Caenorhabditis elegans: one gene and its partner. The protein of the gene in region 2 interacts with the protein of the main gene of each other region in a pairwise test. Each region holds a gene or a part of one and is shown on either strand. Other genes may lie near its edges.

What was found.
Region 1: the proteins of tag-120 (region 2) and atf-6 interact in a two-hybrid assay, tested with the Caenorhabditis elegans proteins (one large-scale study listed by BioGRID).

Annotation. Positions count from the first base shown.
Region 1 is NC_003284.9:12,472,566-12,489,569, reverse strand, and holds atf-6 (Transcription factor atf-6 homolog), read right to left. Parts: upstream 8,623-17,004; coding exon 8,530-8,622; intron 8,474-8,529; coding exon 8,282-8,473; intron 7,990-8,281; coding exon 7,714-7,989; intron 7,666-7,713; coding exon 7,495-7,665; intron 7,445-7,494; coding exon 7,268-7,444; intron 7,220-7,267; coding exon 6,980-7,219; intron 6,934-6,979; coding exon 6,848-6,933; intron 6,799-6,847; coding exon 6,568-6,798; intron 6,336-6,567; coding exon 6,119-6,335; intron 5,385-6,118; coding exon 5,298-5,384; 3' UTR 4,666-5,297; downstream 1-4,665. Other genes in the region: tbc-13 (TBC1 domain family member 13), read right to left, coding at 1-11, 139-230, 563-626, 800-961, 1,126-1,197, 1,446-1,676, 4,223-4,516; F45E6.1 (Serpentine Receptor, class Z), read left to right, coding at 12,129-12,260, 12,314-12,461, 12,506-12,635, 12,688-12,778, 12,823-12,969, 13,648-13,911; myo-2 (Myosin-2), read right to left, coding at 14,624-14,764, 14,811-15,092, 15,278-15,568, 15,616-15,766, 15,813-17,004. UniProt on the Caenorhabditis elegans protein: Transcription factor. Plays a role in the unfolded protein response (UPR), perhaps mainly during constitutive endoplasmic reticulum (ER) stress, by activating transcription of genes involved in the UPR.
Region 2 is NC_003283.11:9,696,227-9,711,567, forward strand, and holds tag-120 (Transmembrane BAX inhibitor motif-containing protein 4), read right to left. Parts: upstream 13,589-15,341; 5' UTR 13,581-13,588; coding exon 13,513-13,580; intron 12,937-13,512; coding exon 12,879-12,936; intron 12,827-12,878; coding exon 12,732-12,826; intron 12,681-12,731; coding exon 12,590-12,680; intron 12,054-12,589; coding exon 11,631-12,053; 3' UTR 11,545-11,630; downstream 1-11,544. Other genes in the region: Protein her-1, read left to right, coding at 903-1,045, 1,095-1,207, 4,546-4,703, 5,213-5,326; xbx-6 (Protein lifeguard 1-like), read left to right, coding at 9,134-9,242, 9,575-9,747, 9,797-9,891, 9,937-10,027, 10,084-10,223, 10,517-10,792, 10,862-10,868; F40F9.10 (tRNA(Phe) (4-demethylwyosine(37)-C(7)) aminocarboxypropyltransferase), read right to left, coding at 15,320-15,341.

The DNA of each region.
Region 1 (17,004 bases), on a different chromosome or scaffold from region 2:
AAAGCGTAGAACTGTAAATTTAATGATTTTGTAGTTCAAGATATATTGTTTTATTGGTATAGTTAGTATAATAGTTTCAAAAAGCAAGGAAAAATTTCCAACCCATTTTTTAATCATGAAATTCTAGCTTCAGTTTACCTGTGGTTTAATTTCCAGTGTCAGTGTGAGATGCTTGTGAAGCTCCGTATCAAAAGTTGAGATCAAATTATGAAAAGCTGACATGCTCGATTCTAAAAGAAAAGATTTTGTTGCAACGCATGATTCATTTGTGTTTTGTGTGTGCCTCCATTTCTTGAGAACTACTGATGTTATCGATGTTTGTGCGAAACTTTTTTGCGCAAAAAAAATAATCACTGAAAAAAACATTCATGAGAAGCTAAAGTTCAAAGCACAAAGAATCTCAAAACTTTAGGAAATGTTCTCACATTTGCAAGCGTGTGTTTATGATCAGTCATTGAATTATTGGCTTGTCTGCTCAATCCTATGATAAGATTTAAAGCTGAATGAAAGGGGAGCATTTCGAAAACGTTACACTTCCTTGTCTAACATCGTTTTCACATACCAATTCCACAGTTACTATCGTCGAGCTTTTTAATGAAGTTGTCCTTGACTTCACTCATGAGTTGCTGTAAAAAAATAACAAATTTAATAAAAAGTTCAATAAATTTAAGCTACTAATCAAATTGCTAAGTCAACAACCAACGTCTGCGCACAAAGCTAATACAAAAATACTTCTTGATCTTACACTGGCTAAAGCTTAAAGCACACTATTAAAGTTTGAATAAAAATGGGGTTTCACCTGAAAGCAAAAAAAAGTGTCCGCTTCAGCATATGCGGCCCATTCATCGTCAGCATCATTGGCGAACACGTAGTAGATTGGGGCAACCAGCTCATTCATTCCTTGCACGTATTGAACTCCGGGGTTGAGTTTGGCGTAGATGAAGAGGATTCGCTCAACAATCTTAATAATAAATTGATTTAGTATGTTTGGCATTAAATTGAAACAATTTTTTCTAAAGACTAAAGACTCTTGTGAAAACTTGTAGGAATACTCAAAAAATTGCTGAAAATCTATAATTACTTTTGCCAATAGAACCCTAAAATGAAACATGCAAAAATCCTTACATGCCAGTGGAATTCTGAATTGGGCGCCTGATTCTCGTCTTGACTTTGTTTTGCAATGTTTGTCTTGACACACTGTAATTTGATAATTATTCAGTTAATATTTTGCGTCTATATGATGATTTTGCAATAATACAAACATCGCGCAGATATCTTTTTGATCTTTTCAGCTTTTTTGCTCTAACAACAACACGATTACATTCATGAAAAGAGCAAACTTTTTTTATAATCCAATTTTTGATAGTAAAATAGTTTCTGCTAATCTACACTTTTTCTTAGCATTTATCAACACAGGGCACAAACAAAACATCGCAGAGACTCACTCCAACTATTCCGTCGCGATTTGCACCAAACTCTTGTGAATGCAGTTCCTGATGATTAATGACTCTGCGAGAAAGGGGATACTTCATTCCATGCTGATGTGGAAATCTGGATAACAGTTGGAAAAATTGTATTTCTGGATACAGTCGGCGAACGTCTTTGTCGATTTGTGAAAGAACTTTGTTGTCTTGGAAGAATGCTTGCCAGTCACTGGTTGGATGGTCGGAGAGTGGCTGAAAATGTTTGCAATTTGATTAGTCATCTTTCTGATAGAATGAATTGAAATAGTTGGTTGACGTATCTATTTTAATCCCTTTTTTTCGAATCATTTCTCTCAGATTTGTCATTGTTGAGCCCAAAATAATTGGAAATTTTAATCCGTCAAAAGTGCTCTCGAACATCCTTTAACTACACGTGGGTTCCTGCTCAAATTCACATATCGTCACCCGCCTCCATTAACGATCGTTTGATCAAACTACGGAACCCGACGCTCAGATGACGTAGATATGTCTTGTGTCGCTTTTTTGTCTGAATTAGCTATGAGGAAAAACGTTGTCTATGCATTCCTGCACCACTTGAGATGGGTTTGCTGTCCCGACAAAAATGGTGGCGGCAGGTCAACTCATTTCACATGGACTTGATTTGTGAAGGGCGCGTAAGGAACAAAGTAACAAAATGTGTCACTCAGCATACGAAACCGGTATAAACAGATGGTGAACCCAACGAGGAACTTTTTCAAATTTAAATAATCTCAAGTAGTTATCTTTTGATCAGTATAAGAACTTGAGATGAAATATCCTTTACATTCCATTCAATTTTGTCCATTCGAACGATTACGCAAAAATACACGCCATATCTCAAGTACAAAAATTGTTTTAGTGTTAGATTAGCGCTTTTTAATTCTTCATTCATTTTTTAGAGTGCTCAAGTTTTAGGAGATTTAATATTGTTCTATTTCTCTCTTACCAATTAAAAATGAATAAAATATCAAAAATGGATTTGTTGAGTGCACACTTTTAAACATCATAGGAATGATCAATTAAATGTTAGTGATAGAATTGAAGATTCTATCCATTCAAATTCTAAATGGTCTGGGAGAATTCGATATATGAAATTTGCAGTCATTGTTCATATCTTGCAAACAAATTATAAGAAGAATGAAACAACTAATAAATCAAATTGTTAAAAATAAAAATGCAATTTTGTACATAGTTTATTTTTAATTTGTATGGGATATTGTATTTTTTAAACTGATATACAGATATGAGATATGCATCATATTTTCAACTTGATGAATCATGAACAAATATGTATCTATTCTTAATTTCATTAACTTGTATTGGTGTGTAATGTATTTAGTTGTATGCGTAAAAAAAGTATAGATAATCTCTTTGAAATAAGATTAAAAGCTACAAATCCTTAATTATTCAACATATTTCTTTTTGAGCTCATATATGGTTCTTGCTCTTAGGTGGCATACTAAGCTTTCTATTTTGAGCTGTTCCTATAATAGTATAAATTGTGATGTTTAATTTCTTATCCGCCACCTACACTTTCGGAGCGCTTGGGAAAACCGAACTGAGGGAGTAGATTAAAGGTTCTGAGAAGAAAAAACGTTTCCGCACTTGATATTCGAAAGTTCCCACGTATCTTAGAGTCATAAAGTTTTGTGTCGCACCTACGCAAAAAACAGAACACAAGTTTTGTTTTTTTTTCTCTTTTTGAACTAACGAGGGATGCACCTTTTCGAAATATTGATATCGTTTTGAATCTAAAGAATTTCTAAAAAACGGGATCATGGAAATTTAGAAAAAAAAAAGGGTTCTTGGCTAAACAAAATGGACTTACAACTTTAAAAGCAAACGTTTTTCGTTGTTAATTCGAGTATCAATTTTTTTACATTCAAATCAAAATAAATATAATAATAAATACTAGTTTGGAAACTAAGTTCAGAACAGTCAACAATCCAAATAGTTTCGCAAATTGGTCAGAAAGAAATACCAGATGAACTTAACCCATGCGATTACTGTAGCGCACCTCAAAATGAGAAAAATGAAACATCTCTAACTTGTGAACTACTGAGTGGAAAGTCCCGGATAGGTTGGTGATAGATAATTCAATTTTCAAAAAATTAATCTTTATTTCTAGAAGTCATATCTCTTTTTATGGATTAAAAACTTGTTATTCAGTTTTGCTTGTGTCAATTTCAATGCTTTAAAAAAATAATGTTATATCGTAGCTAATAAAGTATATTACATCATTCGGCAAACTGATAGAGTAAAAAGGTTATGTTTTAACTGGATTGATTTGACACACCATCCATAAAATTTTAACTGTGGAGTAGTGCTAATAGAAAATTTTGAAACCACTTTAACATTGCCAAAATAATGAAGTTTGATGGAAAAATTGTTTGAAAATTACATTGTTTACAGTCGAAAAGTTCACTTAGTCCTCACATACATATTACAATTTTAGAAAAACTGTGTCTATAATTTTCAAGTTTTGAGTCTATTTTAATAAATTGTATCTAGACATTGTAGGATTCAAACAAGTAATTTTTATAGACAGGTTGAAAACTCAAATTTTGTATAAATTCTTTCAATTTGAAGTTTTTTTTTGAAATCTTGTTTGTCATGTAATTTCAAAAGTGTATTTGCCTTTAAAAACAACTTTTTGGGGAATAACATATTTGAATACAAGAATCTATGGGATGTCTACATTATTTCTTTCTTTTATTTAACTTGAATTCTTTAAACTTTAACGAAACAACAAAACATACATGATCATTATCCTGATTTTGAGCAGCACTTTGCTGCAAAGACGCTGTTCCCGGCTCCACGATTATCTGCTCAATCATCTGATCGTAGTTATCTCTCTGTTCGGCCAAAAATGTTTGCCACTTGTGACGCTCCAATGGGAGATAGTGCAGAAGCAAACGCCATGCCAACGGTCGCAGAGATTCGGGAACTCCGTAGCTACACCCGGCTCTCAATTCGTTAATATCGATTTTCTTATTTGCAATGAGAAGTACCTCCTCGATTTTTGCAAGACGTTCCATATATCGAGACGTCATTCTGAAAGGTAGAGGTAGAAGGTGAAAAAGGTTTTAAAAAAAAAAGAAAGGAGGAGAAAAGACAACATAGGTAGAAACAAACGGAAAATAACAAAGCTAGTAGAAAAACCAGTGCAGGTAAACATAGAACCCAATTTTTCGTTTGAAACTAATATTTTGAACCCTTCATTTAGATAATTATTGACAAGAAAAATGCAAAAATCCCAGATAATTAGGCACTTATAATTAGAATTTGAATAGAAAAAGGAACATCAAACTATATAAATTAAGACCCCGAGATTAATAAAGTGACTTTCAAAATAAAACATATCATGAAAGATGAATATCATCAATGGTGGTGTAACTGAATGACTATGTTATGAGAATTGGGTGATTTCAACTAGAACTTGGTGAGACAATGACTGGCATATTTTGTATGGAGTTTTGTGGTTGATAAAATTCTGAAAAACTGGTAAAATGATGAGAAAACGAATGGTAATTAATATACAATACATATGTGTTGGAATAGGAATAAGACTGAGATAAGAGAGTTTGAGAGAAATAAAGACAATCGAAAAAGACCGGAATATGATTGATGTAAAGTGAGAGACGCAGCGAAAACGGGTACAACAAAAAGAGGTTGATCGGTGACCGGCGATTTCAGAAATGCATAATGAATATTTAACATAAAAGATTGATAAAAACGAATCAAAAGAAGAAAGGTAAAGTGGGTGAATAAAAAAGGCACGGAAATTGAGAAAAGTGGGAATATAATAAGCGTAGTTGTTGATCAATATCAGTATCACGGCATCAAATATGAAAGTTGCTTGTTGGAAAGTGTCAATTGGCCAGTCCCTGTCACTTCACAATCAACTCGAAGAAGAGTATACTGAAAATTGAACTCAATAAAACTGAAGTGAACCTACATATGAATCTAGCTAAAAGCTGCACATATTACGAAACTGGTTTAAAAATTGCAGCTGTTGAACACATGCCGAGTAAAACCTATCCGTTAAATCTCACGCAGGCAAGCACAAGCAATATTCCTACATGATATCTCAGAGTTGTAAAATCAATTTTTAAACTGGTTGAATAAATTTTATTTTATTAACTGCAACTTGTAAAAGCTTGGAATTATTCAACAGTTTTAGAGCTCTACTTTGGTAATTTTTTTTGTCAAAATTCTGGCAATTCAAAATTAAACATATAAAGTTACAGTTAATACTCTATAGATCCATAGAATGAAAGAAACCGTTAATCCAAAAATCAAAAAAAAAATTTCAAAGTCTCTCTTTCTAATAACGATGCAACGTAACACTAGTGACATTTTTGATAATATCTACACAAATATAACTGCTCCTACTACTTGAACGTTCAAATTGATTTTAAAAAAACTACAATCAACCAATGGCTGTGATCAATTCATTTCTAAATCTCAAATTAAAGTCACTGTAAAAAATAACTCGCATTGAACGTCAGGAAACTTACAGAGACATGAGAATTTTGCAATTAATATATTTTTTCTGATACTGAAGGCAAATTTGACAGTTGTGAAATCAATGCCTACAGTTTAACAAAAATATTTTTTTTTACTAATCATATTTTTTTGAACTCCCTAGTTACCTGATCTTGGAGAGTTCCATTCATTGGAACACTAGGCAGGAGCAACGATAGTTTGGGAACCGAGTTTGCTCCTTTAATCAATGAAGGCAGAAGCACGTAGTCTTGAAGTGTCATAATGTACAGTGTATCTCCCTTTTGGCGAACAATTGAAGCGATTTTGTCAATATCTTGTCGTTTACGTTGAATTTTCTCGTTATCCAGTTGAATATTGTTTCCGCTTTAAATTAATTATTATTTACATGTTATTGAAATAGTTTTGTTGTTTGCTGCTGGAATTGCAAATGCATTTGAATAATTTTCAATTGGTCCGACTTCTTCGTTTGCAATTACGGTCATGTCATCTCAATACAAAGTGAACAAAGTAAAACATGAACTCGAAGTTCGATTACGTCGGTAGTGTGCCCATTCGTGTCATTATGAATTTTAAATTAAAGAAAAAGTCTACTTACGTCTTCAGTAGATCCAACTGCTTCCATGTACGTTCCCGAGATCTGAGCGCCGCTTGCTCTGATTTCTTTTGAACCGCCAATGTCTGTGGTCCATAAACTGAGGCTGGTTTTACTTTCTGTGCGTAGTTGAACTTTCGCATTGCTTCCTTATTTAATAGTCCTCCCGAAAACTTCATTGGAACATTATCAAATGAATGTACTTGTACCCAGCGCTCAATGTCGTTGTTTACTCTGAAAAGAGTAGTCAGTTATAAAAATTGTTCATTTTCAAGTCCCTCACCTTATTGTCTCTGTGGCGTTTAGTTTGTACATATCACAATCATTTTGAGTGGAGTTCGGATAGTTGTGGATTGGTTGTTGAGTAGGCTAAACTTTTATAAGAGATTTTTAAATATTAAGCTCGTACACATACAATTTTTGCAACAGGAGCACTATCTTCATACGTGATGACTCTTCCGTGGCGAGCAACCATAGAAGTTTCGTTGGAAATTGCCATGATTTGATTGTTTATATTCAAATTGTTATCGACATTAAATGGAGAGATGACTGCAAAAAGTCCGAACATCATTAGTACTGAACCAGCAGCAATAATTCTTTTTTTCTTCTGATTTCTTCCAAAGGGTTGTGGAACTTCGACAACTGGCTCTTCGTGCTGAAAATGTATTTTAAAATGTTAAAATTTTTATGAGTTCAGAACTACTTCAAAAAACGCAAGGCGTTGCTTCAAAGCGGCATTCTCAGTTCTTAGAATCTCGTTTTCTTGAAGCAGTTCCTGAAGGTTCATTTTCATATGTTCATCGGCTTCCTTCTTGCGCATGCGAGAGGCTTGGGCGTACATTCGGTTCCGAATTTTTCGATTTTGCTCGGAAGTAAAAACCTGGAAATTGTAAAGTCATGAATTTAAATATGTTTTGAAGATAAGCTCACTTGTGGTTCTGCTTTGATATCTACTGTCGGAGCAATTGGAACGTATCTTGGCTCTTCGGACACTTGTCGAACCAGCGGACCACTTTTTGGTTGCATATGAATTTCTTGAACCGGCTCATTGTAATACATTTGCTTGATTTGGCGTTGCGTAGCTTGTGAAGGAGATGGCATCTGAAAAAAATTCGAATAAACTATTTTACTTGACGTTCAATCGCTCACCAAGGGCTGAACAACTCGGTATGTTTGTTGCTGACTGCCGGGTGATTCCTTGACGCGGTATACTTTCTGGATTGGTCTGCTGACAATACGTTTCACAGGCTGTGACTGTTTGGGGAGAATTGTGATAATTCGTTTTTGTTGCATGGGCAAATGCTTGGCCGGTTCTTCTCTGAGGTATCTTGCGTTCATGAATTCATTGGTGGGCTCGGCAATCACTTCGTCGTCCTGATATGGAGAGCCAAATTGTTGCTCAAAATTCTCGAATGGACTGCGACTCTGCAAAACAAACGACTAAGTATGATATTGATAGATTAGGATTTTGTAGTTGATATTAAATTTTGAACAAGATTTTGTGTAGTATCCGTACCCCGAAATTAAAAGTAAAGTAATTCTGTAGGAAAATTTTGTCTTCGTGCTAAGTTTTCATGGTAGGAGCAAACATCATACACACAACAACTTGCATGTAAGGTTGTTTAAAATAAAACACATTTCCATTAAACAATAGAGTGTAAACGATCCGTTTCGACAAACATTTTTAACGAGTTTTGTGCGAAAAAAAACAACTTACTTGAAAGCCAAAATCCCACATTTCCTGGTCATTTTCTGTGAAGTTTGCACAACTCAACGGTGGAGAGCTATCCGACGAAGAATCTCCTAAACTCCCGCCGTCTCTTGAGCGAAATCCAGCATTCTGATCACTGAAACCAAACGAAGAGGAAGAGGTCGATTCTTGTGATTCGTCGGTCCCGTAAAGTAGGCTCTGAAAATCGATATTTTGTATTAGTGGTCCTTTCAAGACACAGAAAGAAAACTCACGTCCAACTCTAGCTGGTCAAATTGCGGCGGAAAATTTGGGTTATGCAGGAGATCATCAAAGTTTGATTCATGAACCGTATTGTCAAAGTTCATCTGAAATTTAAAAAGTTTTTGAAATACAGTGTTAGAGAAAAAAAAGAGAAGAATAGGTTTCTAAAGACAAATAATCCTAAAACTCAATCACATTTTTAGAAACTGGTAAGATTAAAAAAAAAATCTTAGATATATCTCAATAGCAAGAAACGAAAATCAGGTAGATGAAAGAAGTGACCATGAAAAAAGGAGGGCAAGACGATTAAGGATAGCATCCAATGAAATATCAACGGAGCGCGTTTGCACACGACCCCGGCTGGCACACTGCCAGTACGCCGGTCAAACGACCGGAGAGGCAAGGGGGGGGGGGGCAGAGTCAGAGAAAAAGAGTCCCCGGCACAGTGACAGTGAGAAGGCCACCACAGTAGATGAGGACGAGGTGGCGCTCTCGCAGTGTTTGTTCTGTCGCAGAATTTTTGTTGCGGAGGAAGAGGAGTGGGCAAGCGAAAATGGAAGACGGACAAAAAATGGAAAGTGGGTCACTAAAAGTATAGTAGTAAGGTAATAAACGGGGAAGGGATAGCGGCTATATTACTTTACGATCTTATTTTATAAACCAAATAAAGAAACCACTAATTAAAGCAAAAATTCATAGAAAAAAAAATGATATACTGTATTTTCTCTACTTGTCTTTAGTTTTTATTTCGGTTGTGCATAATTTTATCAGTCATTGACTAATACTGTTTGCCTTCTTTTCTAAAGCTCAACAGACGAACATCCACTGGGTTTGAAAAAAAGACCAAACCAAATTTAAGTTTTAAATTTCAATAATATGCAGAGAAAATTCTACAATATAATAGATTGTCCTGTGACTGTAGTTGTATTAGAGAAAATATTGGGTTTCCTAATAGTTTAGCATTGACTTGTTGACAGGCGAGCAATACTTTGTGGAATATTTGTTTTGTAAACTTTTTTGTTTTTAGGGTAAAGTCAATTTTCGAAGTTAAAATGGCCATTGAAATTCCTAATGGAAAAACATTCATATTTTTAGTTGGCGTCAAATCAGTTTCACAAAAATAATTCTTGCAATTTATATTAATCTTACACCCCTACAATTTGATGGAAAATTAGTACGGTAGTAAGGTAGGCGATATTGCAATGTTTGTATGTATACAATTTAATTTTCAAATACAAAATTCGATAACCGCGCAACTACACTAATAAGAAATCTCTAAATACTTTGAAAAATAACTTTTTAGTGAACCCCAAGTATTTTTTCCGACAATTTTCTTCAAATATTAAACAATGTCTTCTAGAAAACCAAACCAATAAAAAGCAAATCATGAGAAATTTTTTTCCAAGAAAGGAACACTTTCAAATAATATCGACGACGAAAACTTTTATTGTGTATACTCTTGCAAGTGGCTTTGAAAGTTCTGGTATTTCTTCACATCACACTTTGATTTGTTAGTACATAAAAGCTAACATTTCTTGTCAAAACTGTTCCAAAAGTAAAAGTATCAACAAGAATGATCTTATAAACAATACACAAGAAATATGAACCTCTGTTGATTAAATTTACCCCGCAGTGAAAAACAAACACTTTGCATTAGTATACACAAAAAGAACGAGTGGAAAAAAAACGACGTGACGTGTAGCATAGTAGCACCAAATGGAACCGCACTTCATTTGAATAAAATAAAAGTGCAAGTGAACACTTTTTGGCTAGGACTACACTAATCGTCGTCGAGAACGGCCGGGGGATGCTAAGTGTGTTACTATGGCATTGAATTATGTACGAGGACCAATGTGCACTTGTGTGTGCTTTTGGGCAATCCAAGCAGCGATTCATAAAATAAATTGTGTGGGGTGGAAAGTGGGCGATGCTTTGTGAAATAAAAAAAATTAAATTGAAAGCTAGTGATGACCTTTCAAATTCAGAAGCTTCAACCATAAAAAGTGATTAAACATGATGCTATGGAATAATATAACTGGTGAAGCTACTACAATAAAATGTTAAAAAATAAAAAAAAGTACTTGAAGGATATAACGCGAGTTGCTGTGAAAAAAATGTCTTCCCTTTTTTAGGGGAAAAACATTTGTAAAATCTTCATCGTTTTCACTATTAAAAAAATATTTTAAGTGAAAAAATTATTTTGAAAAATGAATGTTGCTCAAAATTTAAACTTAAACTGGAAAACAATTGGTTATACTTTTAAAAAATATTTTCATAAAACCGTCCTATCATTATAGAAAACACGTGAAAGGACAATTCTGATACTACCTGAAACATAAAGTGCTTGTTATCGAATACCCTCTCCTCTGTTAATATTTAAAGAGTAACGTTGTTAATTTTATTGTTATCAGCAAGTGTATTCATCATAACAGGGTATTTATAACATATGAAACAGGGCATACAATTCATATTGTTAGTGCAAACGAGAAAGAAAATAAAGCAGGAAAACGGGGGGACGCAAACAAATTTGAACAACTGTTGAATATAATAGATTAAACTAGTAATATGTGTATCTATCGTAGAAGTCAATTTCCGGCAAAATCGGTCTAAAGCTTTATTGAAAAAATGCACTCATATGTTTAGCATTTTAAAAAATCTAATATCTCTGGTAACGGCTCTCTAATTAGATATGTTATAATTCCAATTCCATGTCAAAAATGAACGTTATTTTAGTTTTCTAGAAGCTTTTGCAGAGTTTTAGTTACATTAGTTTTTGTTTCAAGTATTGGTTTTCAACTTCTAAAACGCATTTTTTAACGGCTGACAAAATACTAGAATATTCGAAAAAGTTTATATCCAACAGTTGCAACCGATAGGTTGGCAAAAAGGCAGTTTTAAACAATCAATTGAATCTAACATTGCCGTGGAATAAAAATTTTTGTTGCTCTTTATATCACTTTTTAATTTAGTTGAAAGCCTTCCATGCTGATTCGAACAAATCGTCATGTTTCAAAAACTCCAAGTTCAAAACTTCATATCACTTTAAAACGGTTTGCGAATTATAGTTTTTTTTTACATGAAAATGTGTTTTTTGGTTAAGACTGTGCATTAGAAACAAACATAGTTTCGATTATCACTTCTTATTTTGGTTTCACTTAGATTCTCTTCAAAATGTTGCATTGGCGAGATTTTTTTTTTTAATAATTTTTATCCGTTTGACAGAAAACATTAAATGCAAAGAGCATGTTCTGATATTTCTATTGCACCAACGCAAATAAAAATGTATGAAAGAATGTCTGTCTTCATTGTTCAGGACCTTTCTGAATTTCGGTAATTAGAACCTTCGCGTTTTTGCATTGCCTTGCTATCAATATGTTCATTAGATATTTTTATGCACTAGCATTAATTTTCAATAACCTTTTAACTTACTACGTCAAATGTCCTTACAAAACGGGACAGGTGAAATCTAGAATAAGTAGATGTATTTGAACAAGGCTTTGAAACGTAACAGGCTGATCAAGTCTTTGCTCCAAAATTGCAATCTGATATTTGACAATCACAAAACATTTGTGGTTCTTACACTCCCTTGGTAGTTTAATCACTCTTGGATATGAGTTCTAGCAACTCAAGTGCTCAGCAAGATGCTGAGCATGAATTAGATTTCACAGTTTCATGTATTGGTGTTGTACCATTTGTTTTAGTCGTCTGGTTGTACTACATGACAAAAAGGACTGACGACAAAGTGAGTTTAGCATTATTCTGCGTTAGTACATTTTTAATAAGGTGCACTTTTAGAGATCATATTATGCGATTCATTTCAATCTGGTGACATTAAGCTCTGTTCACATTGTTGGATCGTTTATAGTTTTGATGATACTTTTGATAATAAGAGTAACCGACGGGTTCACTGGAAAATCTGAATGGATTCGTTTTTTATACAAGCGTAAGCTAAAGTTATAAATTTAAATGTACAGAAATTGTTTACAGTGTTCACAAATTTACTAATTCATGGATCTCTAATTGTTGCAACAATATTTTACTACCTTATCTTCATTTCCTCCATGCAAAGATTCATGCTTCTTACTATTGAAAAACTCGGAAGAAAGCTGATGACGGGGTAATTACTGATGAAACATGTCAAAAAAATTTAACATATCTAAACTTTGCAGAGCCAGATTGACATTCAACATGACAATGTTGTACTTTGTTGCAATCATTTCTGCAATTAACAAAATATTTGCTTCAAACAAGATTCCATGGGTGAGAATTTTTCGATATACTCTGAATACTATGATAGTTTTTAGCTTGAGATGATCACGATGGTTTTGTCTCTTATTATGCTTTTGCTGAGCATCATAATAATACGCCACATCGATAAAAGATCCAGATCGGGGATGTCTGCGCACGTTACTGTATTGCTGCAAACAGTGCCAATTGCTATTTTACTAATGGTCAGTTTTTTAGTCTTACCGAGCAATTTATGTTTTGACGTGCATAATTATGATACCTAGAAGAGGAATGTTTTTTATCATGCTGAAAATTATCTTTCTAATGGCCAAAAAATGTTGCGGAATTGTTCGTCCAGAAACCTGCTTTGTTTTTTCTTAGGGCTTTGCCTTAGCTAAATTCATAATTTCTGCAATGTTGAAAAATTAATTAAAGTCAATAAATGGAAGGTGTTCTTTGTACATACGAGATGCTCATTTCATATTTTATTTAAAAATGCGCTCTATCAAATTTCAAATTTGTTTCATTAACAATGACATCAAACGTTTAGAAATCTGAAAGTTTTATTGTGTTTTTACAATTTTTTTTAAATAATTTACAGTTTTTTGTTAGGTTCTCTTCAATATACCTTTGACTTTAGAAAAACAGTCCGCATTTTTTATAGGTTTACACTCGACTTGAATTATAGTTTTACCTGCTTTATTAGAGAAAACTTATGCCAATTTCAATTTTTTTACTAGCTCTAAAAACTGTTTTCTATTTCCAGATAGTTATCAAAATGTTGCTCAGTTTGTGATTGTGTCGTAGTCTGCAGCTGAAACTGAGTTCATTTCTAAATCAGACACGCACTGTGATAGATTAGAAACTAAACCAGGCAACACAAACAAATGCTAAATTTGCAGGTCTTCACAGTTGCAAAGTTTTATGTGTTGACAAGTGGACAAACGAACATCAATCTCATCACATTCCAGTCGTTCATGACGTTTTCTATATCATTCATGACACCTATATTTTTGATCATTGGTAGTCTCAACAAACGAAAAGTGGCTGTTGCTATCTTAACATGTCAACGCGGCACACGAATTATTGGAGGAGAAGTTTATACAGCGGAAAGGTCTCCTGCAACAATGTCTCATGTTGTCAGTATGGTGCCAACAAGGATTTGATATTTTTTTTATGAACGCATTAAAATCACAAAGTGTAAATATGTTTGAATTTTTCTTGTAAAATATGTGGTTCAACCATTATTAGATATTTTTAATAAAGTTTATTTTTTGATATTCTTGTGACACGAAACGTTAGTTTCAAAGCTGAAAATAATATTAAACTAGCTGACAGGATCTCCCTGGTTAACTGTTCGAGGACAACTGGGAAACTTTTACAAACTTACAACATGGTTCAGACAAGTTTAAAAATTTAAGTTTGAGAATCAACGGGACTTTTTCTTTTTTCGTTTTTTTTAATTGTGTATGCTTTGAAGATTTTCAAATTTATTCTAGTTTCAATAAAAACAGTAATATAATTGAGTGGGAGTTTTTTTGCTGTGATGTTTTTGGTGTTATTTACAGTGATCTTCTTCTAAATAGAAAATCAATGGTTTATTGATCAAAAATATTGAGAAGTGTCGAATCAATTGAAGCATTGAAGGACAAATTTCCACTATCCTACAAATCCGATGCGTAAAAATTATTAAACAAAGTGAAAAAAATGCATTTGAAGAAAAAAAACAACAGAGAAGGTGTTGATGGGCTTTTATTGTGACACGTTGAATGTGTATGTGTTACTGTGCAGTGGTAGGTTTGGGGGACGTAGGGGAAGAGAAACGGGTAAAGAGATTGAAAGAAAAGAGAGAAACGAGATGGAATTAGAGCAGTTGATCTACTTTTGCTCGGCGTTGGCGCGTGTTCGGCTTCGGATTCTGACAAGACATTGCTCAGCGGAATCGGCTCTCTCTTCAGCGGTTTCAAGGGAAAGTTGGACGGTTCTGTACTTGCTAAGATGGCTGTTAGCTTGCTCCTCCTGAAATAATATTTACAATTGAAATTTTATCGACTATGAAACATACAGCTTCCTCGAGTTGCTTCTTCTGGAGCTTGAGCTTGGCTGTGAGTTTCTCAACTAATTCTTGGAGCTTATCGTAGTTCTTCTTGTCCTCAGCAACCTGGAACTCGAACTCGCGGACCTTGCGGTCAGCACGAGCAAGGGTCTTGGATGCTTCTCCGGCGCGACGGCTCTCGGTTTCCAAGTCACTCTGGAAGGCTTTCAGACGTTGCTCAGCCTTCTGGATTGCCTTGGCTCCTCCCTTCATGACAGCTGCCTCAGCGGCGTCGGCACGCTCTTGGAGATCCTGTAAGATGGATTGGATGAAAGATATAACTGATCGTTTTTTTTCTATTTACACAATCTTTAAATCTGTGACGCGCAAAAGGATAAGTAGTTGCGACGGTGGGAAAAGATGCACACTCTAAAACAAACAAATATCGCTTTTACACTGAACGGCCAAAAAACTGCGAATTCTTAAAGCGAACATACCTTGACAGCGCTTTCAAGTTGTTTCTTGAATCTCTCAAGTTGTTGAGATTGCTCTTGCTCGTGGCGGAGGTCCTCAGCAAGTTTGGCGGCGTCGCTGGCAGCACGACGTCCACGGTCTTCGGATGCGGAAAGTTCAGTGTGGGCCTCAGCGATGTCGCTGTTGAGAAGGGCAATTTCGTTGTCGAGTTGGCTCTTGGCAGCAGCGAGGGCAACATTTTGGGAGTTGAGTTCGTTGTTATGCTCTTGATGTTCCTTCACCGAGCTTTCGACAACACGACGGGCACGCTCAAGCTGAAAAAAATCACATACAAGGGGATTTTCCGAAACAAAATTCTTACAGCCTCAAGCTTAACAATAAGCTCTTCTTGCTCCTGTTTGGCAACAGCGAGTTTTCTCTCGGCAGCCAAAAGGTGCTCACGGAATTCTTCGCGTCTCTTTTGTTCCTCATCCACGGTTTGTTGAAGCTCGCGGATTTGGTCCAAGTAGCGTCTGAATGAAAAAGTTGGTGTACACAAAAAAAAAACTTATAAATTACCTGATATTCTTCTGGGCATCTTCGTTCGCTTTGTTCGCATGGTCGAGGGCGATCTCCAGCTCGTTGATATCGGCTTCCAACTTCTTCTTGACACGGAAAAGCTCTGACTTGGCCTTGGTCTCGGAGTCCAAAGTAGCTTGGATGCTGTCGATGGTTTGTTGGTGAACCTTGCGGTGGTTCTCGAATTCCTCCTCCTTCTCGGCGATTCTCTTCTCAATTTCAGCACGGATTTGGGAAACCTCGATCTGGCAACGGAGAGCCTTGCTTTCCTCAGATTCGAGGGCAGCTTCAGCCTCGTCCAATCCACGTTGAAGTTCTTCCTTCTCCATTTCCAAACGACGAAGGTTCTTGGAGAGAGCGTGGGTAGCACGTCCTCCCTCGGAAAGTGATTCGGTGAGGTCACGGGTCTCGTCGCTGAGAGATTTGTTCTCGCGACGAAGTCCTTCAACTTGATCAGCCAAGGTATCGTGCTGTCCACGGAGTTTGTGAGCTTCTCCGGAAAGTTGACGAGCATCGCGTTGAGCTCCGTCCAACTCGAGGTAGAGGTCATCGACCTTCTTCTTCCATTCATCAATAACCTTATCAAATGCCTTTTGCTTCTTCTCCAATGAAGAGACAGCTTGGGCATGGTGCTCAGCCTCCAGACGGTTGGCATCAGCTTCAGCTGTCAAGCGGCTGCGAGCATTCTCGAGTGCGACAATCTTGGCGTTGCAGGCATCAAGAGCATCTTGGATCTCCGAAGTCTTCTGGTTTTGGCGTTTCTTGACCTCATCGAACTCGTCGGCTCCAATGAGTCCCTCGGTCTCGAACTTAGTTCTCCATTGATCGAGTTCAACGGAAGCCTTGGAAAGTTGACGAGAAGCCTCGTTCTTTCCAGCGACTTCGTCTTCGATGGATTCCTTGAGCTGTTCAAGCTCACGAGCCAAGTTCTTCGACAAATTGGAAAGATTTTGTCTCTCGCGGGATTCCTCCTCGGCCTGTCTCTTGGCATGATCCAATTCGTTGGAGAATTGGAGTTTGAGGCGGTTGGCAGCTTGGATCTTGGCCTCCAATTCTTCGACTTGGCGGGCCAAATCGGAGTTCTCGGAGTTGAGGCGTCCCTTTGAGGAGACGAAATCTTGAAGCTGGCGGGATTGTTCGTCAGCCTTGAGACGAAGCTCAAGAAGTCTGACCTCGTATCCCTTGGCAATTC
Region 2 (15,341 bases):
TGTCTCATGAGTATTTTGGTAGTTCAATCTGACAATTAACAAATTGTTATGCAGGATATTCGCAAATTTGGCAATCCTTATCATATCAATTACCGTCAAAGGTGGAACATACCATGTTTGAAACGAAATGAAGTCAATTGGAACATATAGAACGGTTACAGTATGCTCGATAAAGTATAATTTGATAAACTTTATTTTGTAAAACTATTGTATCAATCATCTACGGCATTAATCCTCAACCTTGAAAATAGATATGAAAGTAAAGTTGACAAGGCACAAAATTGGAACATAGTGATCGAAAATAAAGATATCTATTAATTGGAAATTGTTCGGCGAGGGGCTCTTCGAAACATTTACTGGGGTTTTATGAAAGTTTCTTCTAAAAAACATAATTTAAGATTGAGAGGTGCTCTCAATCAATTCAATATTTTCAAAGAAATAATCATATTCTGTGAAATCAACACTTAAATTATACATTTTTTCATATCTTTTAAAAAATGGAGTTGTATTTACAGGATTTAATGAGATTGTTGAGAGTGACGTCACTGACGAGCAGATATGTTTCAAACATGAACTAATTAGTTTCTAGTATAGTTTTGCCTAGTTTCTTATATATTAAGCAGAAACAACGGACCAGTTCTTCAGCTTCTGAGAGTAGATTATATCTTAGGAGCATACATGAGCACTGTATGTACCTTCTTTGTCTAACTTTCTTTGAGTATCTAAGTCTCTTCAGGTTCTATATCCATCATTCAACCAAATGACACTGCAGGGATGCCTATCTCCTGACTGAACCCACCAGTCGTCTCTTGCTCATATTCCTCCTACCTTCTGCTTCTATTTTCTCAGCGCATCTTGTCCACCTACAGTAGTAAATCTCCTCCCTTTCCTTACGTTGCATTATGAGATATCTCCCAATTTTTGTGTTTCTCGGATCATTTGGCTATACGGAAACTACATTAACAAAGGAACTTATCAAAGATGCAGCTGAGAAATGCTGTACAAGAAACCGTCAAGAATGTTGCATTGAAATTATGAAATTTGGGTGAACCGCTTTTACGAGCACGAACAATGCGATAATCGGTATAATTTAGAACCCCAATTCGATGTGGTTATGACAGGGATCCGAAGCTACCCGGATATGTCTACAAATGTCTTCAAAATGTGTTGTTTGCAAAAGAACCAAAGAAAAAGATTAACTTGGATGGTGAGCGTTTTTTTTTCAGGTAAAATTCTCCTCACAAGCCAAGATATCAAGTTTTGTTTATTCTTAAGAAATATAGGAAATGACTAATACGGTATGTACAAGTTAGTTTTAACTTGAGGAAAATCGAGAAACCGGTGGCATAGCGCCCGCCCGTGAGGTCATTGATTGGCCGGAGGCAGAAAGACCACACGCATTGAAAAGTCACAATATCTTTTCTGCCTCTTTCATTCGTATACTCTTTGGAAATTTTCAATAATTTTGAACATTTTTTTTTTAATATTCTTGCCTCAAATTGTTTTGAAAAAAATCAAAGTAAATCATCAGAGGCTTCTCTGATTTCAAAATAATAGTTAGAACGTAAGTAAAGAGAGAGCGTTTGAAATTTTTCATGAGTAAGATTATTATTACTACTTATCTTTAACTATTTGAAATTTAAAAATGGCATGCAATGTATGGGAGAAATATTTGAAGAAAGCGCCCAAGACTTCAAGAATATCTGAATTTGAGGAGTTATATCACAAAAACTGAGCCTGCAACCTATACTAAAAAGTATACCAAAACAAAGATAAAATTAAAGTCTTTGTTTCTGAGTATTTATTATCATTTGAAAAATTATTTAATAACACGTAAAACGTCTTCAAACTAACCCCAATTTAGAATGTTCGCGCTCTCTCTTGCTGAAATCAATTATAACTATGATAGAATGATTATTCGAATAATTCATAAGGGCTATTATTTTTTCACTTTAAATTATAAAACGAATACTTTACCAATTTTGAAACAAAGTTTCTGCCAATGTGAAATTAAACTGGAAATTGAAGTTTCACCGCTAAGTTCGAAAGCAAATGTTGGGCATTTCCATAATCCGAGTTACAGCAGAACGAGATGTTATCATATAGTAAAAAAATTGTTCAAACATTTTTCGATATTTTAGAAATTAGAAAAAATGCAGTACGATGACGTAGACAATGGTAAGAGGAGGAAGATAGTGCGTATGTGTGCGCAGAGAGGTACAAGGCTTCGGGCATTGGGCAGTCGCCACCATACGCTCGATCGATATATTCAAAGTCGGTCAGGCTTTTAACAATTTGAAGCTTACTGATATCAGTAAATTTGTGATAAATGTCAAGGATACCGTGTCTTTGAAGCAACTTAAGCTCTCTATAGTTTCCTGATTTGATTTCACTTCAACATACTACATTTCCAGTTATTGATAACACTTATCAACTAGCATTTAAACATTTTCTCATATCTATAATAATGTTTGATTTCCTGTAAATAGTTTCCTCTTCCATTTCGAATTGTAATATTTCCCTCAATAACATTGGAACCTTGTTCAACTAAATAGGGATCACTTTGACAACACCTAAAGCATCTACAAAAAATTTTTGGTAATGTAACAACCAAGTTTTCTAAAAGAATTTGACATGCTCTATTTGTTAGAAAAACTTTTTGATTATGTTTCAGGCTCAGTTTTTGAGATATTCAACTCTAAAGTTGCAACTTGTTCTAGGTGGTCCGTTCAATTGTCCTAGGGTTGTGCAGGCAATTGGTATTGCGCAGGGAGAATAGACGGACCCTTGTGTCTTGCGTACCACCTGTCATCATGTTTCGAGAGTAGATATTCTTCAAACCCTCAAACTATTTAGAAATATATTTTTTAGCCTCAAAAAGTTACGTTTTTCGTTCAGAATTCTATTAGGGCTACGTTTTAACATAAGTTTTAAAATAGGCTTCTTTATTTGTTTTTGAGATATTCATGGCCAAAAAAAAACTTTACAGTATTGAATTTGGCTCTAATATTTTTCAATACTTGTTCTCTACAATGTTAAAAAAAAATTAATTTCGCCTACTCATTTGATCATTTAATAGATTTATGAAAACATAAAAATTATGATAACAATGTCTTTGAATTCTCTGATAATGTTCATAATTTGTTTTGATCTTTCTCGTGTTATCTCTCCAAGATAAAAGAGTGTTCTACTGCGAGCACTGATACCATATCTTTGCATGTTTATCCTTTTATCAGTTGACTCACTCTTTTGTTAGGTGTATTGATTAGATGGGAGACTCCCCTGCAACAATTGTCCTACAGGAGCAGAGCAGTTGCTTTTTTTCTTTTGACATCTTGCATTTTTCGTTAGAAAGAAAATATTTAAGTGCCGCCGGGAGCAATCTGTTTTATTTACAAATATATCAGAATGCACGGCATCAGCTAATAAATATTGAATAAGTATTTTCTTGTTCTCACCCCTGTACAGTTTGCTTTTCTATTCCTCATTACACCTCCCAATCCAGGTGTGCTTGGTCCTTCATCTTATTAGATCTGCCATACGGTATAGGAATTACGATCTACAGTCGTCATAAAAGAGTCCGCAATACCGTCATGTGTGTCGAGTTGCAACAAAAGAGTATATGGGAAATGAGAGACTACGGTAAATGAGAGATACCGTAGACGAGATATAATGTAAGAGAGTGGTAGATCAAATGAGATGAAAAACGCGTCGATTAGGTCCATCCAGGAGAAACTAGATTGCGTAGAGCAAACATAGCTGTTTTGACGGGAACAATGTTTTTTGAGACTACAAATATCATAGCTTCAGCTACATCTGAGGTTTTCAAATTTTTCTCGAATAGCTGATAAAGTGAAACTTCATAATGAAGGTAGATATCAGTGCTCAAATAATGTATACCGTATTCCCCGTTATTGTATTAGACCTTATTGTTCAATTTTACCAGCTTATATTTTAGTTAGCGTTTGTTCTATTCAAATATTGCCAATTGAGAAACTATTATTTCTTTTTCAATTGCTTGCAGTTAAAATTTATTGATATCTTTAAAATGAGTTGATAGTGAGATATAAAGCTTTCAATTAAAATAATGTGGTGCAATACTATTAGAGAAAATACAGTAATCTTACTAAACTAAATGCACGCGTGATTAAATCCAAAAAGTACAGAACTTAATTGGTTTATTTAGGTGCGTTCCCCTGAGCAGAAATTGTCTTAATATAAATTAATTTGAAAATCTGAAATTCGAGAAATTTCTACTTTCTGTAAAGTTGTGAATATTCACTAATTTTATTGATAATATGAGGTTTATAGAAAAACTTACAAATGCATTTGACTCACAGAATTGCTATAATTTTACGATTTCCCAGAAGAGACTTTCCCAAAAGAAATCGTTATTTTTGAGGGACAAATTGTCTTAATTATCGATCTATTATTTGCCTCTTCACACGTAAAACATGCCAACACCTGTCTCTTTTGACTCCGCCTCTCTGATTGCCCCGCCCATTTGCCCATCCCACGCCCTAATCTCATATTGTCTTTATTCAGACTCCGTGTGCTGCTCCGTGTTTGGCAACGACCAAAACGATTCTGGAAGAAGATGTGAGAATCGTTGCAAGAACCTCATGACCAGCCCTTCCATCGACGCTGCCACACGTCTGGACAGCATCAAAAGTTGCTCGCTTCTGGATAATGTACTGTATAAAGTGAGTTTTTGTTAACACAGAATTTCAGTTCGCCTATTCTAGTTAGACAAACGGGTAAATTGAAAATATTCGGTGCAATCTGTCTTATGGTTTTTTCAGCTCCTGCCTATTTCAGTACGTAGTCCTAATTTTTCCAGTTTTAAAGAAAGGATCCCTAGTTGACCAAAGCCAAGTTTAAAAATATTAAATTATCTCCAACTCTGTAAAAACGGCTGCGATTTGCAGACTTTTTCTTGGTCCAGGCAAACAATTTTGGAGTTCGTCCCATCCATTCCCTCGTCTATAAAATTCATCCTAAAACGGAGAAAATTAAAAAAAAAATTCAATTGGCAAGCGGAAAATCCGATAGTGGATAGATATCACCCCAAAAATTGTTCGCCTAGGTTGAGATACATTTTTGGAGCAGTGCGTCAGTCCAGGAACCACGTTTTTCAAAGATATCTCATTCGATATTCTAATCGTTCAATTCGAGTTAATCAAGTGTGTCATAAAACAAATTTATTTTTCAGTGTTTTGAGAAATGCCGGAGCCTCCGTAAAGATGGTATCAAAATTGAAGTGCTCCAATTCGAAGAATACTGCAATGCAACGTTTATCCAAAAGCGAACTTTCCGAGGAGTCTGAATCTGGGCTCATTAGCCTAAAACATCCCTAATCCGCCGTTGTCATTATGGCACTCTCCATCATGAGTGGTCCAATTTTTTCTTTTCTTTCTAAACCTTTTTATTTTATTTTTTGTAACACCTCTATGTCTACCTCTTAATCAAAGCTTTGAGCTTTACTCACTTTGAGTTATATTTTTAATCTTGTGTTCTCCTTATGTTGAAGAAAATTTTCGATACGCAACTTGTCATATTGTTGTATATATTTTTAATAGAATTTTTTGAAATGTCCTATTCTTATTGATTTCTTCTTAACATTCTCTTCAAGAATGTTTTCGGATGCGCTCAGATGTCATGAAGGCGCACTACGGTGCGGTCCTGATTTTATTTATTTTTTTTTTCATAAAAAATATATCTTCTCTTGTTGGTTTCTCCTAAAGTTGTCAAATATGAATATTCAAGTACTTTCTACGATCTTTTTTATTGAATAAATTGTTTTATCAACGCACAGAACCCATACGACATAATCAACAAAAAATGATAAGAAAGTGATTTTCGAACTACAAATTTTATCAATTTTTTTTCAATTCTCTGCTTTCTAACAAATTCTAAATTTTATTTGTAATTTTAGTTATTCAAACTGCAAAACGAGCAAAACTTTATTTCTTATCCGTTTTGAAAGATTAATAAACTAAATGTAATGTTGTTTCTCATATTCTGCTTGTTATTTTAAACTGAATAATGCTTTAGAGCTAGCAAGGAAAAATCAATCAATTCATTCGAAATTGATAAAATGGCCATTAAGGTTTTTTTTTAAATTTTATGTGTTAACACATGTGTTGGGTTTCATCATAAACTTGTACTTGGTGGAATTCAAACTATATAAGTTTAGATTTTTTGTAAATCAACACAAGTTACCAAAACTGTTCAGGCGTGATCCGAGTTTGAAGTATGGATTCTGCTAACTTAAGTTTAGAATACAATATAAGAATAAAGTTAAGAAAACAATTAACTCAAGAAATGCCGATGTTCTTAAAAGCAATTTTCAATGTTCAAGCCATAGAATTTAAGTACTTTTTTATTGACTCTCTGCTAAAAACCAAAAATGCAAAAACTTAACTGCCAAAATATGATTCTGATCTAGTTGTTTTCGGAATGACTACATTAAGCTCAAAAAATGCAATGTGAGAAAACCAAATGTCATTCTGAACTATTTTCAGATGTTCCAAACGTTTAATATCTACGGCTATACAATTGAAACTTATATTCAACTGACTACAAAGATGCAACTCGCTGAATTTTGAAACTCTCCATGATCTTAACAGAATTTTCTCGTATGACTAAGTAGAACAGAATAAAACAGAAATCTCACAAGTTATAGGGCACCTTCACTTACTGAAAAGCTGAAAAAAAAAGCGAAAAGAACTGTTCATGTTTGCCTGACGAATGACTATTAACAAATAAGCTTTTTTTCTCTTCTTCTTTCGACTCTCTTGCTCACATTTATCTTTGTTTAAATTTCAGGGCATTTGTCGTAATTCCACGAAATTTCAGATTTCAGCTGAAAAAAGTATTAGTGCTCCAGCAGGTGAATAAATTTATAAGAAACATGTTTATATTATTTTATTTTCAGAACAGAGCAATGAACAGTTTCATCCTAATCAGGCCGAAGGCCCACTGTTACAGAATAATGGTAAGTTTGGAATTAAAAACGCAAACAGTTTCTTTGTGAATATTAAACTTAGCCTATTATTAGTTACGATAGAAGTCACAACATACAGTAACCAATCCTGTTTTTTCTCCTTTATCTTCCTAGATTACGTAAATATGAAATAGATTAGATTTAAAAAACTTCCAATTTGTTCGATGAAACGGTCCATAATCGTTTATAAATATTTTAAAAATCGAACCGAACGGCACACGCGTGTTGTTATTTTTATATATATAACCTAAAAAATAGAACTTTGTAATATTTTTACGTGTTCTTTTTCAAACTTTATCTGAACTGAAATGAAAGTTTATTTCAATTTCAGCGAAATGTATTGGAACGGGAATTCCAACAAATATCGTTTTTATATCAAGCTTGATAATGGTAGGGGATTTCAAAAGCTTTTTTATTTCCGAAAACGAAAAAACAAACTACTTTTAATATATTTGAACCAGTTTCAAGCCTACTGTACGGCTTTCAAGGGAGACGCACGATAGCGCGCGATTGGGTGTCGCCCCGCGAACTATTTTTTGACGCATGCGCCTTTAAGTGTACTGTAGAAATTCTGCGATGAATTTTCACGCTTTTTTCGATTTCTCTCTTCATTTCCCTTCTATTGTCTTCCGTAGGGAATCAAAATCATACAAAGTTTTTAAAAAATTAATAAAATTTTGGATTTTGTAATCTGTTTTATCGTCTGGAATTTTTTTAAGCTTAGAAAAACTTAGTAAATTATGTAAAAGTTTCGAGATTGTTAGCATTTAACTTATTGATCATCTCACTATTGTTGATGAAATTTTTTGTTCAAACTTTTGATGTTTTCACTTTCTCCTCATCTCTTCCGTTTTTCTACAGAGATTTCTTGATCTCTCAACGGTGACTCAACATTTTTCATTCTATACAACTGTTCCCTCACTTTAAAAATTTCTATATCTCTATGATATAGTTTTTCTTTCGATTCATGTTCCAGTGTTAGATGTGAAACACTGCTTTTAAGCTTCACTGCTTTTTCAAAAGAGTAGTGGTCTTCGAGCATCAACACATGCGTTTCTCTTGTTTCTCTCCTTTGGCCGAGGTCGTTGTATTTTTTGTTTGACCTGGCGAGTAAAAGAGAGACAACGTTTCATTGCTTTCTCTGTTCCTGTTTTTCATAGATTATCACGTCGTTCTTGTTCCGACAATACAAAAAAGTCACCGTTCAAACTAAAACCTACATTTTTGAATAGATGCTCTATATTGAGAACTACTTAAAACTCTTGTTTTCTGGTCGACATCGATTTTTTTTTGACGAGGCAAACCCCGACCATTGCAAACAATAGAGACGCAGATATCCAAAGCCTTGGTCAGTTTACTGCGTCTCTTCTCTCAACGAGATCTCATCACAATTGCCCGATGCTGCATTCTCGTGAAAGTGAAGAAGACGTGCCATTCTGTTGCGAAATCACACGTCTTCTTCTTCCACTGCATTTTGGTTTTTCTACTTATTTGAAGTCTAGGCATGAATGAGAAAGATAATACCCGTCTCAGTTTTCGAACGAAGAACGTTGAGCGTATTTACTTTCCTATCGACAAATATGAGTACATTCGTTCTTTCTGCTCGAACGCTAAAAATTCGTGCTCTAGCAACACCAGAAAGTACCGGAGTTTGAGTTATTTGTAACTGCATCTGAAAATCTTTCTATAATATTTTGTCTTCTTAAAAATCCGAGCACCAGTATAAAACACACAATTTTAATACTAAATCTGTAGAAGCTCATCTTTTTAAACTAAAATATGACAAATTCTTCATTCCTGAAAACAATCAAATTATTTTCATCTTCTCAACCATTCTAATCCTTCAATCTAGATATGACTTTCCCTCTAAGCCTTAAAATAATCTTATTTCTTCCTATAACTGACGCACATTTCTCTAGCTACTAGAATTTGTCTGAAAACAGACGAGAAATTCCCCTCGTGAGCTGGAGAACCATGTTTCCATGGAAACTCGAGTAATGTGATAAACAACTGGGACTTTTTAAATTGCCATTTCCATGAAATTCTATACTTTTTTGCTTCTATCTCACTTGTTGACTACATTTTATTCTTGTATTTTCGTTTCAATAATATTATTTAATTCCAGATATGTCGTACAATCAACAGCCATACAACCCGGCTTATCAGAATCCCTACCCCAATCAAGGCCCTCCGCCACCAGGATTCAATACAGGCGACGGACAAAATCAAAATCAAGGTGAGAGATTTTTTAAAAACAAAATAAAAAAGTCAGCGATATCAGAAGTTAGACATAAATTAAGAATATTTTAACTTCCAAAATAAATAAGTAAAGAAGATATCGAAACTTTTAGCAACTAGCTCTTCGATCAATAAATTTGATCATTTTTTAATTGTATTTTTGTAATGTGACGTCATTAATCGAAATACCAAAGGAAACCCGAAAAAAAATCGACAAAATTTGTTAATGCGCAAGGTGGATTTTTTTCAAAAATTTTACATTGAAACGTATTAAATTATATTTTCACAACTAACTGTTTTAAAACGATTCAAAACCTCAATATTCTTAAGGTGGAGCCTATTTCTCACCACCGCCACCAATGCACGGAGCTATGTTCAATCAGATGGAAAATGGGCAACACGGTGGTGGAGACAATCCAGATGGAAAGTATTCATTCCAATTTTCTGATAAGACTGTCCGCGCTGCTTTCGTTCGAAAAGTTTTCAGTTTGGTCTTTATCATGGTAAGTAGTACTTTCAAAAAGTTTTAAATCTATTTTCAAAAAATTTTAGCTTTGCATCGTTGCCGCAGTCACTGTTATCCCGTGGGTTCATGATGATACGATGAGAATGGTCCGCAGAAATTCGGCTCTCTACCTTGGGTCCTAGTATGTACATAAATTGAAATCTTGATTAATATTTAATATTTCCAGTGTAATCTTCTTCGTTACCTACTTGTCATTGGTTTGCTGTGAAGGAGTTCGTCGTAAATTCCCAGTTAATTTGATTGTCACTGGAATCTTCGTAAGTTCATTTTAATATAACAAGTTTCCCTTTATCAATCCAAAAATCGTTTTCAGACTCTAGCAACTTCAGTTATGACCATGGTCATTTCAGCTCATCATGATGCTAACGTGGTTCTTCTGGCATTGGCGATCTGCATTGGATGTACGTTCTCCATTGTCATTGTCGCCTCTCAGACGAAATTCGATTTGACTGCGTAAGTTTTTTTTTAAATCAAATCTTTTTTTCAAATGCTGTGCTAAACCTGCAATAAGCGGATTTATACTCTAACAAGCACCAATTTTCTGAAATTTAAGGTACCTAGGTTATTTAGTCGAATTTGAAACTAATTTTTAATATATTAAATATGTTCTGACAAGATGTACGCAGATTAATTTTTGTAAATAGCAAAATTGGCAAAAACTAAACTTAGTTCAGAAATTAGAATGATGACGAATAATTTATAACCACTGATCTTCAAAAAATATATCCGAAATACTAAATTTTCAGCCACATGGGATATATCTTAATCATCTCAATGTGCTTCATGTTCTTCGGACTTGTTGTCGTGATCTGCTCAATGTTCTTCAAGATCAAGTTCTTGATGATGGTATATGCTCTCGGTGGTGCTCTTATCATGATGCTCTACCTCTTCCTCGACGTTCAAATGCTGATGGGAGGAAAGAAATACGAAATCTCACCAGAAGAATATATTTTTGCTTCTGTTCAAATCTTCATTGACATTGTCCAGATGTTCTGGTTCCTTCTCAGTTTGTTCGGATCCAGGTAAGAAATTCATTGGGAAACTTTGAAATTTAGCTAGACATTCTCAATAAACCCTCTGGTTATTTCCAGAAACTGAATCTTCTATTTCTCTATCACATTTCGTGTGGTAAGGCGGTTGAGTTTGTGGTATTTCAAAAGGCACGTTTACTTTTTAGATTTTTTTGTGTCATTGTTCACTAACGCTGTATTAGTAACATTGTGCCAATTTAAATGAATGTGTATTATCGAAAAAATACGATCGCACAAATTTCTCATAATTTTTTTTTGATCTACGCTGTTGACTAGGCTCCTCCCCCAATCTTGTTGCCGCTGTTATTTTGTTGTGGCTGTCTTGTCGAAGGAAGGGGAGGAGCCTAGTCAACAGGGTAGATCAAAAATAAATTATGAGAAATTTGTGCGATCGTATTTTTTCGATAATATGTGAATCATTTGGTTGATAAAAGCAACAATTTTCAGTTTCTATGTTGTGAAAAGCTTTTTATCAACTTGTAAACCTAATTATTGTATTTTTCAGCGACTAAACAACGGCCTTCACCCGACTTCATCGATTCTCGATTCTTCAATTCCTTCTTCTTTTTCTGTTCTATACTAGATTCCATGCCTAATTTACACACTGGTAGTTCACTTTGTTCTTCTTTGCCTGTCCCCTGCTCTGTCCCTCACCCCGAAAAATTTCTAACAAAAAGAAACGAAAACTGCTGTTGTTTAAGATGTCTCGTTCGCTACTTTCCCGCTTAAACTCGTAATTATTTGTGAAATGAAACTTAATATATATTTTTGAATGAAATAAAACATGTATTTACAGCAAACAATAAAACATATAAAAATGTGAAAAGATCTAACGACCTCTTCCAAAGATGTTGAGAAGCATCAGGAAGATATTCAGAATGTCCAAAAAGATTTCCATCGCAGCAAAAATGTAATCTTCTGGTGATAATTCATATTTACGACCACCCATCAGAAGTTGTACATCAATAGCCAAATAGAACATCATTAAAAGAGCAGCAAGTCCAGAATAAACGGAATAAAGGAATTGCCAATTGAATGCCAAAGTGAAGATGAGTGCAAAGATTCCAAATGAGAAAAGAACCATTGAAAGCATGAAAGCGATTCCCATTTTGCTCGTCAAATCTGATTTCGTTTTCATCGAGAAAATAATGACTGATCCACTGCATACTGTGGTGATACATAGACAAATTAAAACTGATTGAACATTATAACAAGCAGTAACAAACATTGTCATGACTGCTGCCGAGAGAGTCTGAAATATACAATAATTTTAGATTTCCTTTTACGAAAATTAACACATGTTTCCAGCAATCCTACCGTAGCCTACCCTATCTCAAAGCACATTAAGAATTCTGAAATATCCAGAAAGAAATTGAAGTTATCTTGTCAAGAATGTTCATGGTTATACATATATTTTAAAGAAAAAAAACTATTGTCCACGAGGTGTCAGAGTGTCCCATGTCGGTTTGATCTACGTAGATCTACAAGAATTGCGGGAATTTAAACGCAGACTTCTCAACTGATTTCGCATCATTAAGAGCGTGCTGACGTCACATTTTTGGGAAACAATTCCCGCATTTTTGTAGATCAAGCCGTTATGGGACAGCCTGACACCACGTGATTTTAGTGGTTAAAATTAGGAAAATAGAATTTAAAGCGGCCCGGGACTCTCTAAAATAATGATTGCGTTTTTGGAATGTGATAGAACCTTACAATACGTTTTGTAACGTTTTTATTTTCTTCCTACTAAAAACCACTTTTTAAAAACCTTTTTACTTAAAAACTTACGAAAATAGTGAGAAGAATGATATTGACTGGAAATTGCCTTCTCAAATTACCACAGCAAGACAACGCAATTGCAACAACCAAAAATACAATTCTGAAATTTATATTATCATTCGAAGATAATCAAAACTCTATTGTAACTCACATCGCAATGAAATATACCCAAAAGTTGTTCTTAACCCAATCCTGAAACGGTTCTGATACCATAGGAATTACACAGAACGCTGCTGTGATGGCAAACTGAAAATGTGAAAAGTACAGGTTTGTTGAAAGTCATTTTGGATAAACTAACCATAATTGTGACAAGCATAAACACTTTTCTGACGAAGGCCGCCCGGACTGTTTGACTTCTGAAAATCAAAAAGTTTAAGATCTCCAAGTTTATTCAAAATTTTGTAACGTATGTGTTCGTTAATGTCTTTGTTTTTGGGAAAAAGAGAGGCACAGTCTTCCAAGGTATGTAGGCACGCCTAACATATACCTATATACTTAGAAGATAACCAAAAGTTTGCTTAAACACGTGAAAACTCGGAATTTAGGAGAAACTTTCTGGAAAAAAACATTAAAAGCTGCTGATTGCCAGCAAGTTTAAAAAAAAAATTGCCAATTTTTAACAGGAAGTTGCCCCTAAATTACTCTAATCAAATTATTTGATTTTTTAAATGTTTAACTAGGAAATTAGATGTTTTTCGTGTACATTGGCAGGTAGGTACGCATATAGGTACATAGTAGGAATAGGTCGCCTATAAAGCGATCATGCCTGTTTGTGCTTGTTTTTTCAGAAGCCTAAAACCATGTTTGGTCTGGAAAAGCCCAGTTATTTTGTATAAACAAAATAAACAATTAAGTGAATCAAAAAATATTAAAAAAATGTTTGCAACAATTTCGTCTAGGGTAACCTTCAGACTTTAAAAAATAATACTTACGAGAAATGCAAGTTGTACTTTCCATCTGGATCATCTTGAGCTGTTGTGGCTCCATATCCTTGCTCCATTCTGTTAACTGAAATGAACTTGAAATCAATAAATTAATAATCAGCAGCCTCAAAAAGTGGAGTGAGCGATTGGCAGTCCAAAATTTTTTGCCGATGACTAACAATCACGAGAGATGAAGAGACAGAAAGAGACTGCAAACGTTTATTTGCACATTGGAAATAGAAAATAGTGATGTGGAAATAAGAGTAAAAGAGAATGGAAATTCGAGAGCATTCCTGAATATAGGTACTTACTGAAGTATGTTACTTGATAGGGTATTATCTGAGTTCATGTGAAAATTGTTCTGAAGCAGTTATTAAACTAAAAATTTATCATTGATCATGATAATGTATGATAAATTCAGTTCAAAATTAAGGTAAACATCATTGACCCTGGGAAAAATGGAAAAAAGTATTGAGAAACTGTGAGCTCCGCGGAGCACAAATATTTGATTGATGATAGAGAGTTAGAAAATAATTCCCACATTTTTTATCATATAAAAAAGTTTGAAATTAGTGCATGCTTAAATATCTTGAAATTTAAGTTACTAAAACATACTTAAATATAGATTAAGCTTTCAGAAGGTATTCAAGTTGTAATTTTCCTTCAGAACAATTAATTTTTTAACCTTGAAAACAGTTGTTAAAGTTAGCAATGATTTCATAATATATCTAGAAAAAACCAAAAGAGAATGAAAAAAAGAGAAGAGAGAAAAGTAATGCAAAAACATGGAGTTGTTGACAAAAGGCTCGTTGATGTTTCTCTTCTGAATAACTACACCGGGCATAGTCACACGATTGAAAATGGAAAAATGAAATAGAATACGCAGTGACCGCCTTTTTTCATGTATGTTAATGTGAGTCATGAACTGGGTTTGATGAATTTTTCAGTTGCTACATGCTTTCTAGAATACCTAAATTTGAAATTACGTTGGTATATTAGCACTGGAAAATAACATTCATCAATTTTTTTTTAACTTTTAAAGTTGCTTAAAGCAAATTTAATAAATCTTTTGAAATCCTCTTATAAAAAGCAATAACTTAGGAATAAGTTCAACAAAGTGAGTTACCTGAAAGTCTTGCATTCCCTTAACTCTTCTTTGACAGCTCTTATCTTACGGTGCCCTTACTAAAAATATATTTAACAGTAAAAATACGTCCCAATTATTATTCCATATTTTTATAGTTAAACAATTTTTGATAAAGCCAAAACAATTCGAGATATGAACTGTCGAAGTAAAGCTGGTTTGCTTACGGTGAAAGACCATAGGAATCGCGCGCATGTTCTACTGACGTGTAATCTTCTGATCCGATACTCAAAAGGTTTGCACATTCAACAGTTCAACGATTAAAAGATGAAATTCAAGTACATTAAAATTTCAAATCAATATTCCAAAAGTGTTTAAAGCAATATTGAATTTTACCTTTGAAAGACACCAAAACGTGGTTTACCGTTTAAAAGGATAAATAATGAAATCGTTGATTATACAATGAAGTAATAGAAGAAATAGGTTCTATATGCAGTTTGAATGTACTGATAAGACGCCCCACATGACTCACAGCGATGTACCGTGCACCAACTTATTTGAATATGACTTGTGATGACGAAACGAGATTAGTTTCTGTGTAGTGGTGTTGCGAAATGGTTCTGACTCAATTATCTAATCAAACAATTTTCATTGGTATCATTGGTCCGGTTAATATTTAGATCACAACCCTTGGTAGTAGGTTCAACAAAACAAGAGAAAACAAAACAATTTTCAAGACTTCAAATTTTCAGAA